2 linked regions of the Sus scrofa genome follow. The main gene of each other region encodes a partner of the protein of the gene in region 2 in a complex. Links are inferred from orthologs where the notes say so. Each region holds a gene or a part of one and is shown on either strand. Other genes may lie near its edges.

What was found. The genes of interacting proteins can lie anywhere in the genome.
Region 1: the proteins of JAML (region 2) and CXADR are in contact, whole or in part, in a crystal structure (PDB 3MJ7), measured with the Mus musculus proteins. The link is inferred for Sus scrofa from reciprocal best matches to the Homo sapiens genes JAML and CXADR. Residues at the interface, in NP_001005421.3 of Mus musculus: Arg57, Asp59, Ala69, Tyr72, Phe75, Tyr77, Leu80, Val82, Glu120, Arg122, Ser127, Met128, Val129, Met130, Lys131; in NP_001020363.1 of Mus musculus: Thr23, Gly51, Pro52, Asp54, Glu56, Leu58, Ser60, Gln65, Ile66, Val67, Asp68, Gln69, Val70, Leu73, Tyr83, Lys121, Lys123, Lys124, Ala125, Pro126, Gly127, Val128, Asn130.

The regions. Positions count from the first base shown.
Region 1 is NC_010455.5:182,181,751-182,188,348, reverse strand, and holds the end of CXADR (coxsackievirus and adenovirus receptor), read right to left. Parts: intron 6,264-6,598; coding exon 6,141-6,263; intron 5,614-6,140; coding exon 5,475-5,613; intron 3,952-5,474; coding exon 3,687-3,951; 3' UTR 2,372-3,686; downstream 1-2,371. UniProt on the Homo sapiens protein: Component of the epithelial apical junction complex that may function as a homophilic cell adhesion molecule and is essential for tight junction integrity.
Region 2 is NC_010451.4:45,528,739-45,535,436, forward strand, and holds the start of JAML (junctional adhesion molecule-like precursor), read right to left. Parts: upstream 3,937-6,698; 5' UTR 3,847-3,936; intron 3,576-3,846; exon of another isoform or gene 2,884-3,575; intron 1,055-2,883; 5' UTR 1,035-1,054; coding exon 992-1,034; intron 896-991; exon of another isoform or gene 811-895; intron 1-810. UniProt on the Homo sapiens protein: Transmembrane protein of the plasma membrane of leukocytes that control their migration and activation through interaction with CXADR, a plasma membrane receptor found on adjacent epithelial and endothelial cells.

The DNA of each region.
Region 1 (6,598 bases), on a different chromosome or scaffold from region 2:
ATAAAACTGGATTTTAATTAACAGTAAGAAGCCAAATGTAGCACTTAACTTGCTGGTGTTACCATCCAGAAGATAAACAGAACCACAATTCACCAATTTATTTATTATTCTTTCCTACTTCTATTAACATTTATAAGTAGAACCTGTGCTCAGTTATGGACCATTTCAGTGTCAAACGAGTTAAAAAAAAAAAAAATCCAACTACAGAACATGTTGCCTTTATTGAAAGAATAGCCAAAGACATTTGAAATATTAAAACTTACCCAGAACATTTATACTACTAAACACAGGAAATATTATAAAGATATATGTACATATATATATATATAATATATAATTTCACAAGCCACTAAAAAGTTTAAAGTGTGCTAACGTTTTCTACAAACTACTCCTTACAAGACACATCAAAGCATTAACCACAAAAAATATGGACTTTTTCTGTGCACACTAGAATAAGGCATCTGAAAGCCCTAAACACTGTGGAGATGAAGAGAGATTAGAAAAAAAGGTTAAACATTCACAAATAACTTCAAATTTACATGCTGCACACCCACAAAAAGAGACAGAGAATAGTTATTTTAAGAAGCCATACATTACAGAATTTGATCTCCAACATCATGCAATGAGTTTAAAAATATTTAATCAAAAGGTTTACTTGCCCCTTCACTTGCTCCAAATCTCCAGAACTCAATCCTAAAAATTATCTTTTAAATAAAAACCATGTATTAATTCATACCAATAATCTAATTGTGTTTCTTGAATTAACCTCCCCCTAATAGCCACGCTCAGGCTGCGTTTCCATTACAACTCCATGGTAGATTGCCCAAATTTCAAAGAAGTTATTTGCCTGGAATAACTAGCTAGTGTAATCAATAAAGTTTTTTTTTGTTTTTTTTTTTGCATTCTAACAGGGAAATATTGATAAGATTGCCAATAAGAAAAAAGAACACCTGTCATCTACATATTAAAAGCATAGAATTGCATCCTCTATGATATCATTTCTTTTACAGTTTTCCTGCATAACTCAAAAGAATGTGGTGTCGGTGTCAAGTCTCTTAGGTATAAAGTGGAATGGAACAGTTTTACTTTGAAGAGTCAGTGCTGTCCTTGACTGATGTTTGACTCTAATGGAAACGTTTAACAATTTTTTGTTGAACTGCTTGATAATTACCAATAGAAATTCCAGAACAAATATTTGATCTCTAGTTCAAAGTAAATTATTAGGTAGAATTGTCTGGGAAATTACCAGCAGTATCTCACTTTTGGATTAGCTGAAATTTACAACGAGTAGCTGGAGACATAAACCTAAAACTGAAGTCTGTCCTCTAAACCCAACCACATCCAATAGTGTCTTCAGGTCACACAGTGGCTTTTTCCGAGCTTGTTTTTCAGGTTGTAGGTGGTATCGACCTGAACTGGAAGGAAGCACCTCTGGGAGATTCTGATGTCCTTACAGTCAAATCCTAGACTAACTACCAAGTCTAGGGGAGGAAAGCCTTACACATGTCCACTTTTCATAGTAATTTCTACTTAGATTGACAGCATGATCTTCATTATACGAAAATGGGAAATAGGGAGGACCAAAAATGTTTTATTATTAATGTTCGTGATCTTATTTATTCTTAAAATATCTTATAAATTGTATTCATATAAAACAGACTGGGAATCCAGTATTCAAAAATAGTTATTGTTATAAAATCAGAAACACAAAGAGTGTAGGGGATGTCGAAATTGTAGAAACATGACAAGTAACATAATCAGTTAACTTGCATCCAAAGAGAACAGAAAAGAAGAGGCAAGTGTAAGGATAGAAAGGTATCACAGTGATGCATTTTTAGGAACAGTACCTTCACCTCTAAGCACCTTTCAGGTGATAGCTAGCTCATAGGCACCAGAAATTCATCATAAAAACTGAATTACCCAAAAGGCACAGATGAAAATGTTAACACAAGCATAAAAGCAAATTTTATGTAACATTAAAAACCTATTCCAAAAATGTCAAACTATACACTAATTCACTATACATTCAGCTTACGTTTACCATTAAAAAGTGTATACATACTCTGCCTAATCATAAATTCATGCCAACATTAATTTATAATGTAGCATTTACCACCACAGCACCCAAAGAGATGAACAGAAACCAACTCCCTACTGAAATCTAGGGAAAAGGTTTTAGAGCTAATGAAATAATTTATTGCAAACCTTATGTACTATAAAGAAACTGATGGCTCATTCTACTATATGCTATATATCCACGCTTCCTCACAATCTTAAGGGAAATACAATAAATTCACTTTCATCTACTAAGACAGCATTCAATACATTTGGCAGGTAGGAGTATTCCTTTTACGCCTTCTCCTTTCATTTCTTCTTTCCTTTTTTTTTTTTTTTTTAAGATTAAGTCACTTCCACAAAACTAAGACAAACTTTTCAAAGCTCAACTTGATTTTCTGCAACTACACAAGACGTGTTGGCCATACAATAGCAACGGTACATCCTCCCAAGTCTGAAATACAGAACTGATGGAGGACACTTACTAGTTTAGGGTGTATTTCATCATTCTAAGTTTATGAAGACAATATCCTCCAGGAACAGCATTCAAGATGGCAAATTTAAGAGTATATTCCTAGAACATATACTATGCAACACCATCACAAAAACAAAAACCCTCCCCCACCCCAAACCCCCACTAAATCAGGGGTAAATTTTTTTTTTAATTTAGAACCAATAATTAGGGAGTTACAGATATTCTATAACTGTCAGATAATAAATGAGTTATACTTTTTTCTTACTAGAAAAATATAGCCTAAAGTGGAGGGCCAGCATTTGGTTGAGAACTGCAAAACACTACACATCCTTGACAGCAAATCAGGGTTCTGAAGACCTGCACAGGCCTCAAGGCATCAAGACACTCGGCAACAAAGTCCACCCTCACTATTGCACCACTACTACCATCACTACATGTAGCTGACAGCAAATTTTCCAAATGGACCAGACAGATGCTCCTTTATTTTAGCATAAAAAAGGAGCTTACTACGTCCCTGCTGCCCAGAGCAACCTATCAATTAAGCACTTAAGTCATTTCATAGACAAGGTTTATGAATGACTCAGAACGAGTGGTTTCTAGAACACTGTAGTGTTTTCTACTTATTAGAGATACTTTAAACACATTTAGAGTTTTCACTGAAGCAAAAACAAGAACCAACATAAATGTATGTGACTATTTTTGTCATGAATCTTTCTGTACCAATTTGGGGGCAGGGGAATTACAGGGTCATAAATTAATTGAAAAAGGCAACCTAAAAGTAATGGTAGAAACTATAAAGTACCACTTTCAGATGATTCAAGTATCAGCTTGGTATGCATGTAAGTTCACCAATTTCTTTCTTCACCTATGACTTCACACTCAAAGTGCTACATCTGACTGAAGTATTGATACCCAGAACCCTATAAAATCAAGCTCTTAAAGGATATATTACTTAGAAGGTGAATTTGTCCTTAGAACTTTCTTTAATGCCTTTACTATTTCAATATAACTGCACAAAACCTGGAGTTTTTACCGTTTCTGGTGAACTTCTTTTTGATATATTTTGAGGCTGGTAGCAAAATTCAGAACAGAATAGGTGTTGATACTTTGAGAAGAGAAAAGGAACATGGAGAGCACAGATGAAGGTACAGAGGCTCTATACTATGGACCCGTCCTTGCTCTGGGCTGGAATCATCACAGGCACCGCTCCCATCCGGCTGAGATTAGGGGCAGCTACCTTAGCGAGCGGGAGAGTTGGACTCTGAGGAGCGCGTTCAAAGTCTTCGCTTGGTACCTGGTTATACTGAGTCTTGGAATAGCCTTCCATGTTGGAAGGAGACATGGATCCCAGGGACGAGTGGTTGCTGCCGAGGTAGCTTCTGGCAGTGGACGTTCTGCTCTTCGGAGGAGGCACGTCTTCCCTAGAAAGATCACAATACGCGCTCAAAGACCAAGTTTCTAGAAACCTACAATCATGTAAGCTATGAATCATGGGGGGAAAGGAAGATCTTCTATTTAAGCACTAAGCATATAAAAGTGTACGTGAGGAAGTTCCCTGGTGGCTCAGTGGGATCAGGACCCAATATTGTCACTACCATGGCACAGGTTCGATCCCAGGCCCCAGAACATCTGCATGCAATGCGTGAACCACCCCCAGACCCTTGAAAAAAAGAAGGGTGTGTGACACACAAAAAGCAAGCACAATAAGGTGTGATGTTGTGAACTACGTATCTATCTCAAATTTATCATTTACAGAGTTTATACCTTCACACATAATAATGTGATTGTTATAAAAGTACATAGTTCCAGGAGTTCCCATTGTGGCTCAGTGGTTAACGAATCTGACTAAGAACCATGAGGTTTCGGGTTTGATCCCTGGCCTTGCTCAGTGGGTTAAGGATCAGGCATTGCCATGAGCTGTGGTGTAGGTCACAGACGAGGTTCGGATCCCAAGTTGCTGTGGCTGAGGCATAGGCCAGTGGCTGCGACTCCAATTAGACCCCTAGCCTGGGAACCTCCATATGCTGCCGGTGCGGCCCTGGAAAAGGCAAAAAGACAAAAAAAATTAAAAAATTAAAAGTACATAGTTCCATAATGCTGTGTTACAAAGAACAAACCTCAAATGTTTTCATATTCTAGTATCACAGACAAAGATAATCTGGTCAGAGTCATGTAATAACACTTAATAGTCGATAAAGCAACATCTACAGATATTTCTATCAAAAAAAAAAAAAGAACAAGGTAAAATATCTTTTTTATTATGAAAGTTACTCATCTAAGACTTCAGCTGAAAACTTTGAGCAGATTTAAGTTTGAAAAAAGTGAGAATTAGGCATAAGAATTTTCATACCACGCACTGACATGGAATATATATGAGTCACTTCTGGTGCATTTTAAAATACAAATGTCCAGATCCTAGACCCATCAAATGTCAATTTCCTGGGTGTCAGTTTGACCCTCTGTTGTTATTTTTACAAGTTCTATAATCCAATCCAATGTGCATTTCTAGTTAAGATTTACCAGAATCTTAAAATATTTAGAAAAATATTTTAGAATATTTAAAAAAATAATATCACATTACCATAGAATTATTAACTACCCGTGTCACTTGATACAATCAGATTTTTTATTTGAAACCTCAACAATTCATTTTTGAAAATTTCATGCCTGTACTCTAGTGGGAGAAGGCAGAGAGTCTGGAGATAAGCATTTTGCAGTGGTTCTTACAAGTAAGTCTCAAAATGGGGAAGGAGGCACAGTGGAGGTTGGCTAGAGCTGCACATTTGAAATTGAAAGTATAAGCTTTCCAGTACATTAAGGAAAAGAGAAGAAGCTTTCATCCAATTCTCATAGGGGCAAATGCTTCAGATGATTATGAGAACTAACACCTTAAAGACATAATACATTTAGTATACATCAGTCAACTCCTCTGCCACTTAATTACCTGATATCATGATGCACTTCTTTTTCGTATTTTTCTTCTCTGCGCTTTTTATGACAGCAAAACACAATAAGACCAATGAGCACTAGAGCAAGCAAAACTCCTATAACAGCTCCTGCAATTGTTCCAGCTCTATTTGAAGCTAGAATTAAAAAAAGAATGGTTGAAAAAATTTTTCATCTAGTCACATTGCAGGTAATGATACACAATGACAGATTGATTTCATTGAATTTGTCTCTTGATTTAAGAGACAAATCAGTTAGCTTTTTCCGGTCTGAAGGAAAATCCACTAAAACAACTTTCTTCTGAACTGTGTACTCTATTTCAAGGATAAAAACAATAAACCACACTGAAAGATTTTAATACTCACAATCTTAGCTGGCATTTAAGAATTTCTAAATAGCTTATACTTACTTACATTGGCTAAATATAGTACAAGAGTTGATCTGACAACTCTTGCCTTAAGGTCAGTAGAGTAATGAAGGTTTTTATTAATAAAATGTCATACCTTTTTCCTTTCCATGACTTAGACAAGCTAATAACCAAACCACAGAGTGCTCTGCTCAAAGTTAGCACCCCCCTGCCCTTAATACACACTTGCTGATTGTAGCCAAGGAGGCTGTATCAAGATAATGAAACACATCTTCACAACAGTGAACAGACACTTACGAGGAACCACATCCAGGCGAAGCAGGCATTGATCAGAGCCCACTCTGTTTTTCACGGTACAGCTGTATGTCCCAGAGTATTCAGTAGAGGCATTTTTTACAGATATAACAGGTGAAGTCATTTCTATGGGCAGAAAGAGGAGGGTGAGGGAATGAAATCTATTTTTACAGTCACACATTGCTGAGTTTTTAAGCAAACTCCACTTGGTCAATACGTAAAAAACTGAAGCTGGATACAGAGCAAACTCGACAAGGCACAGGCAAGTCTCCAGAATGCAAACAACTGTGCGTCTAGTTCATTCACGTCAAAGCCAAAGTAATCATGACCCCTTCGGCTAGGCACAGTCTCTGCTGAAGCACAGCCACACCGATGACAAAAAATATTCCACAGCACAGAGGCTCTTTAGGGGCAGCAGCAAGATATGCAAAATCTATTTCATCCCTCCAGACAGAAGAAAC
Region 2 (6,698 bases):
CTGTACAGCAGAAATCAACATGACATTGTAAATCAACTATACTTCAATAAAAAATTTTTTTAAAGAGAAAAGTGATGAGTTCCCACTCTGGCACAGCAGGTTAAAGATCTGGCATTGTCTCTACAGCAGCTTGGGTTGCTCCTGAGACGCAGGTTTGATCCCTGACCAGAGAACTTTCATAAGCAGAAAGTGTGGCCAAAAAAAGAGAGAGAGAGATGAAAGGCTATAACAGCAAAGCACCTAATTAATTTATTCTCCCTACAGAGCTACATCCACAGGATAAAGAGAAAGACAAGGGGACTAAAAGGATACAAATGTGAGAAAGAAATGGGATGAGCAAGAAGATGCAGCCCTGAGCGCTCAGGTCACATAGGAGCAAGAGAATCCAAGCTGGTCTGAGGAAGCAGCCAGAGCAGGCTTTTTAGAAGAAAGTGGAGCTTAAGGAGAAGCCTGAGGATAAAGAAGGCTTAGGCAGGCTTGCTCAGGTGAGGTGGGGAGAGAAGGTTCCAGGCAAAAGAAACCATCCAAAATTAGGAAGGAGCTCAGTGCATTTGAGGAACCACAAGAAGGCTGGCGTGGCTAAAGCATGAAAAAAGTTACAGGGATTCTGGAACTCTCTTGGGTAATTTCATTTCCTAATCTGAGACTAGCTGTGATTTTAAAAACAACATCTTAAAGTGCAGGAATGCCAGCAAGAAACTTTTTTTGGATCCCACAGGAAGGTCCTGGAACACCCAGTAAGGACCCTAAGGCATTCTGTTTCTAATAGAAAGAGAGGAATATATAGCTTTCCAAGAAAAAGTCTGCTACCTGGCCTCTAAAACAGCTGCTTCAGCAAAGCATCTGTTTCAACAAAACTATGAAGTTCCAGGCTGGGGTTTCCGTTTTCAGCACACTAAGGGGAAATGAAAATACATAAAACTAGCTTTTTAAAATGCATGAGACTTATGAGAAATCAAATACCATCCTTGGTCCAGTGGCTTCTACTTACCCAGTAACACTGGCATCAGGATGATTTTCAGTGGGTAAAACATGCTGCTCTCAACTTTTCAATCTGAAGATACAAGAAAAAAAAATCAGAAAATAGTGTCAAGAGAAGTTCATTAATTTAACAAATCAACAGTGAGTGCCTCTGTGAAGCAGCCTGGGTCTGAGGCACTGCGATGTGGCAGTGAACAAGGAAGACAAGGTCGCCGCTCAAGTGCAGTCTGCATGTAGGGGGAGACAGAGAGAAAAAAGCAGCAAATGAATGAATAAGGAACAGTGGATGCTGGTGACCATCACGATGAATCAAAACAAAGTGGTGTTTGGAGAGTCACTTGGGGGTTGCCTCAGACTGGCTGTAAGGGAAGATTAAAGTTGATTTTCAACTGAAAAAAAGCAAATAATTCCAGGATACCTTGAGATGACAACCCTATTCAATCCACAACTTCAAGTTTCATGTAAACAAAAGATTACAGGATACTCAGCCTGAAATTTTTACCTCTCTCTCCAACTAAATTAAAATGACTACTTTTAGACATATAAACAACATTTCAGACATGGAGGAAAGGCGGTACACAAATAAGGGGAAATTTTGTAAGCTCAGTTGAGGCATTCACCAAGTCATTTGACAAAGAAACCACATGATGGTTGAGTCTTTGGTTTTTTTGTTTTTTTGTTTTTCACTTTTTTAGGTAGGATAGAACAAGACTTGGGCTGAGTATGGGCAAGTGTACTTTTAAAATACCCATATTATCTCTGTGGTATTTATTTCATCTTTTTTTTTTTTTTTTTTTTTTTTTTGTCTTTTTGCTATTTCTTGGGCCGCTCCCTCGGCATATGGAGGTTCCCAGGCTAGGGGTCTAATTGGAGCTGTAGCCACCGGCCTATGCCAGAGCCACAGCAACGCAGGATCTGAGCCACGTCTGCAACCTACACCACAGCTCACGGCAACGCCGGATCGTTAACCCACTGAGCAAGGGCAGGGACCGAACCCGCAACCTCATGGTTCCCAGTCGGATTCGTTAACCACTGCGCCACGACGGGAACTCCTATTTCGTCTATTTTATATATTAGCTCTTGGGAAAAGATTTGCTGTTCTGCACAATGCCCCACAATTTTCTTAAAACAGAAGAGCTCTAAATCCAAAGAGTTACAATTCAACCAGCCTTGGATTCCTACCTTCTACTGTGGCTGGTCTCAGGAGAAGATGATCCCTGCACCCATAATACTCTGGAGTAATTTGACCTCAGAATCTGCTAGGAGGAAAGGTCTCTTTTTTTTTTTTTTTTTTTTGCATTAACATCATAGTACCCTACCCGGCTCTGGTGGGAAGTCCAGCATGTGTGGCAGCCATTTTAATTTATAAAAACTGATTACCTAAGAGAATCCTTCCCTGTATTCTAATCAACAAAATTCTCCCTCCGGAAAATTAGGATCAAACTGTTCAAGGCAGCCCAACCTAGGTCTTACTTATGCTGTAAATCAGTTGCCCTTGCTGAACCTCAGTTTCCCCACCCATAACATGGGAATAACAATGCAAGGATCGAATATGACAACGTAGGTAACAGTGCTTTGACAACCAGAAAGCATTACCACATAACAACCTAGGTGTTATAGCCTAAAAGTCAGATAGGAAATAGAGTTTGTAGCCTTAGGGGAGATTTGACGTTCTGAGCACCTACCTTTACAAGAATGGCAAATGATGAATCAGAACAAACTGGAAACTTTTTAAGTTTCAGTTCTTGAATCCCATCACGACAACGACAACGGAGATAATAATTACACTGACTCAGATATACCAAAAGTCACACTAAGTTTCCTCAAACATGAGTATTTTTAATGAAAATACAGACCTCTCTCAAAACAGCCACAGCATTATACCTGCTCCACAACACTCACCTCACTCCATGCGTACAGGGGTGAGCATGATTAAGGGCTTCCTTTATATCGTAACTTTAATTCATCGCATCTGGGACATCAAACTCACTGCCGTGTTCTGGATGAATTCTTCTCCAGAGAGTTAATTGTGCTCCCTTCACTGCCCAGCAAATAGCTCTCATATATTCCCCAAAGCAGTGCACCATTTGCATGGAGAGTAAGAACTGATTTACAGTGTAGACTTATCTACCCTCTCAAGGGCAGGATCATATGCATCTCATTTATGAGTGTCCCGTGCCCGTGCTACAGCATCGGTGAAGTGCCTGGCATATACTGGATAAGGGCTAATAGCTGCCAATACAACCAACTGAAATCAACTTAGACATCCTGCCAATGCACTACTCTATTCTAAGAAGAAACCAGTGACCCCAAAAAGATTTTAAATCTCGTCGCCAAACTGAAGACACACAGAGCCACACCCAAACCATTTTCCAACAAGTTCTAAGAAATGTGCCAACGATATGATAAATAAAAGATACCCATTTTCAGTCCTAAGTACTCAAATGCACCATTAGAACTCTGGGTGAATGAATAGAGAAGCAATGATTTGACAGAAAAAGTGTTAAATTTTTTAAAAATTCTCTTCCCAGAACAGCCCTTCCGTTAACTACTTCTTTCATCTTTGGTAAGCCACTCACTCTCCCCAGGACTCATTCTTAATATTAAAGGATCAGATTACACCCACCCACCTACCCACCCCAGTTAACATGGCACCACATTAGAAATCAGTAGTTGATATTCAATAAACTAGAGAAAGTTATATTCTCTACACACCAATCAATTTAATTTTCACAACCTCCTGTGAGGTTTTATAGATGAGGAAACTAAGGCACAGATTGGTGAAGTGACTCGCCTAAAACACAAAGCAAGTGGCAGGGCGAAGATTCGAGCCCAGGCACTGTGGATCAGAGCCTGTCCCCTTACCACACTGCACTGCTCCTCCGTGTGTGTAAAAGTCATCAATGTTTTAGAACGGAGTTTCCCTGATCTTCATTTATCAGAGCAAAATTAATCTGCTCCCCTGACTGAATCCTCTTCCCACCCTCTTCCCCTAGTTAACTCCTGTTCATCTTTCAGTTCCCAAGTGAAATGCAGTTTCCTCGCGGAAACCTCTCCTGAACCATTCTTCCCAGGTCAAATCCTTAGGCCACATGTTTCAATAGTATTATTTTACTTTCCTTGAGGGCATTTGTCACAACTTTTTTTTTTTTTTTTTTTTTTTTTTTTTGGTCTTTTTGCTATTTCTTGGGCCACTCCCTCGGCATATAGAGGTTCCCAGGCTAGGGGTCTAATCAGAGCTGTAGCCACCGGCCTATGCCAGAGCCACAGCAACTCGGGATCCGAGCCGCGTCTGCAAGCTACACCACAGCTCACGGCAACGCTGGATCCTTAACCCACTGAGCAAGGGCAGGGACCGAACCCGCAACCTCATGGTTCCTAGTCGGATTTGTTAACCACTGCGCCACGACGGGAACTCCACAACTAATTATCTATTTACTTATGTGCTTCTTCGATTCAAGTTTTTCTCTCTACCTTCATCCCCAAGACTATAAGCTTCATGAGGCCAAGAGCTGTGCCTATGGGCCAGTGCATCTCCAGCACCAGCACAGAGTAAGAGCACCAGGCAGGGAGCCCAGTCACCACCCATCAGATGAATTAACACCTAACAGGGCCAAGAACACTCTAGTCAAGTTCTAAGTTTTCCACTTAGTTGGCAAATATTTAGAAATTCCTACCATATAGATAGAAACTAGATAGATAGATAACATATTTTTTCAGAATTTTATTATTCAGATATACAATTCAGAAATCTATGAATCTCAGTGTAAAAATCTAACCAAAGCATTCATTAAAGGCACCTTAAGCATCTCGATAGATGCTAATTGAATTCTCAACTGAACTTGCTTCTTTTTCCAGATCCTGATTTACCAGCATGTTCTTGAGATAACTCTGTATAGTAAGTTATTTCACATGTTGACCAAATGTTTGGACCTGCACTTGTGGTTCTTTCACAATGTAACTCTTGACAAATATCTTCTATCATTCCTGGGGAGTTGTAACTACCGGGACCCCTTTTTCTATGATTAATAGTGTAGGGGAATTGTTGTCCTTGACATAATTATAACAGAAAAAAAAAATCTTAGAAAAGAAACTCATGACAATGAGACTACCACACAGGATGTGGATATGACCCTCAAATGCTACGATACTACAAGAGAGAATAAGGGAGAGGCGCTCTCTCTGAGTCAGGGTTTGCCCCTAGCAAGGACAAGCAACCCCTGAGCACACAGACAACTACACTGCCTTTCCTCACCCAGGCGGCCCGGTCCACCCGCAATGCTAGGTCCCCTCGAGTTATACATGGCTGTGTACCTCCAGGCTCTTGGATGTTTGCGGTATATGAGTCCCCATAATGAATCTTTTAAAATGCATCTTCATTTTTCCTTCCAAGTCCATTTAATACAAACTGGTAGGTTGCAAGGCTCCTTATAATACTGGCTAGGTTACACTGGTCAACCCTCTACCTGAAGGGGACCTTAGGAGTCATTACTCCTGCTGTCTTCTTTAGACCAGGTTACACCTGAACCATCCTACTTCAACTTTCCTGTGATCAGGACTATGGAGAGGGTATGCTAAGTAGGGACAACTGCCTAGCTCTCCTGAGAGATTTAAGTTCCTGACTCCTTAAGGTTAAATATTGGCCTGTCTAGGCTTGGGAGAAGAGAAACAGTTCAGGAAGAGTTCTGTGGCAAGTTCAAGGACAGCTAGTCACAGTTCCATCTAAAGCCACAGGCGAGCAACTTAAAAGCGAGAGCTTTGTCACCATCATCATCATTTACACTTTTATTAAGAGCAAACCTTACTCCTCTTTTTCTGAGGATCTTAACATAAGTTATTCTACGCTACAGAAAGGAAAACTGTACCTACCAGACTACCTTACGACAGTCCTCCGGCAGAGGCTGACAGTTTCATGATTATGGCCTCACAATCCAAAAGAGTTACCATTAAATGAAAACCTCCAGTACCAGCCCCCTTCCAAGGGAGAAAAGTTCAAGTCTACTGCTTAAGAAGTAGAAAACAAATGCTTACCTAAGATGAGGCGAAGCAATGCACTGAACCCTCCCACAGCTGCAGTTCCCCAAATCCGACTGAAGACACTTCTGTCTGTACAGAAGGTCAGACTCAGAACAAACCAGATGCGTGCATTCTGAGGTGGTTGCAGAGATACAAACAGGAACCTCTGAATCAAGGTTCTTGTTTCAGTCATCTGGCCTATTACCCAATTTTTATTTACACTCTCATCCTAAAATGAGGTAATAAATTCACCTTAGTGAGGAGAGCCTCATGTTCCAGACCCCTGCAGGTGTCATCTCCCCTCCCAGATTACAAACTCTCCTGGGGTGGGATCTTGAATGGTCCCAGGCAAACTCCCGCTGAGAAAGAAATCAGCCTCCTGTAAACAAAATACAATAAACTGCAGATTAACACAAAACGTTTTGCTCTGTATCTAAAATGTCACAGCCTCTCATTTTTTCCCCCTCTTATCACAGAGGGACAATAGAGCCAGGTAATCACCCAATCCCTACCACCAAAGATACACCTGCTCAGCCCTCCAACTCACCACCCTGACACAACGATTACGAGTCAATTTCCTCTGATGGCTGTGAGAGCAGAATTTCTAGAATACAAACAGCATTATATTCCCCCCAGAGAATCCCTCGGGCAACCTGGACATCCTAGAAAAGGACTCAAAGCTTCTATACTTCAAGGTATCA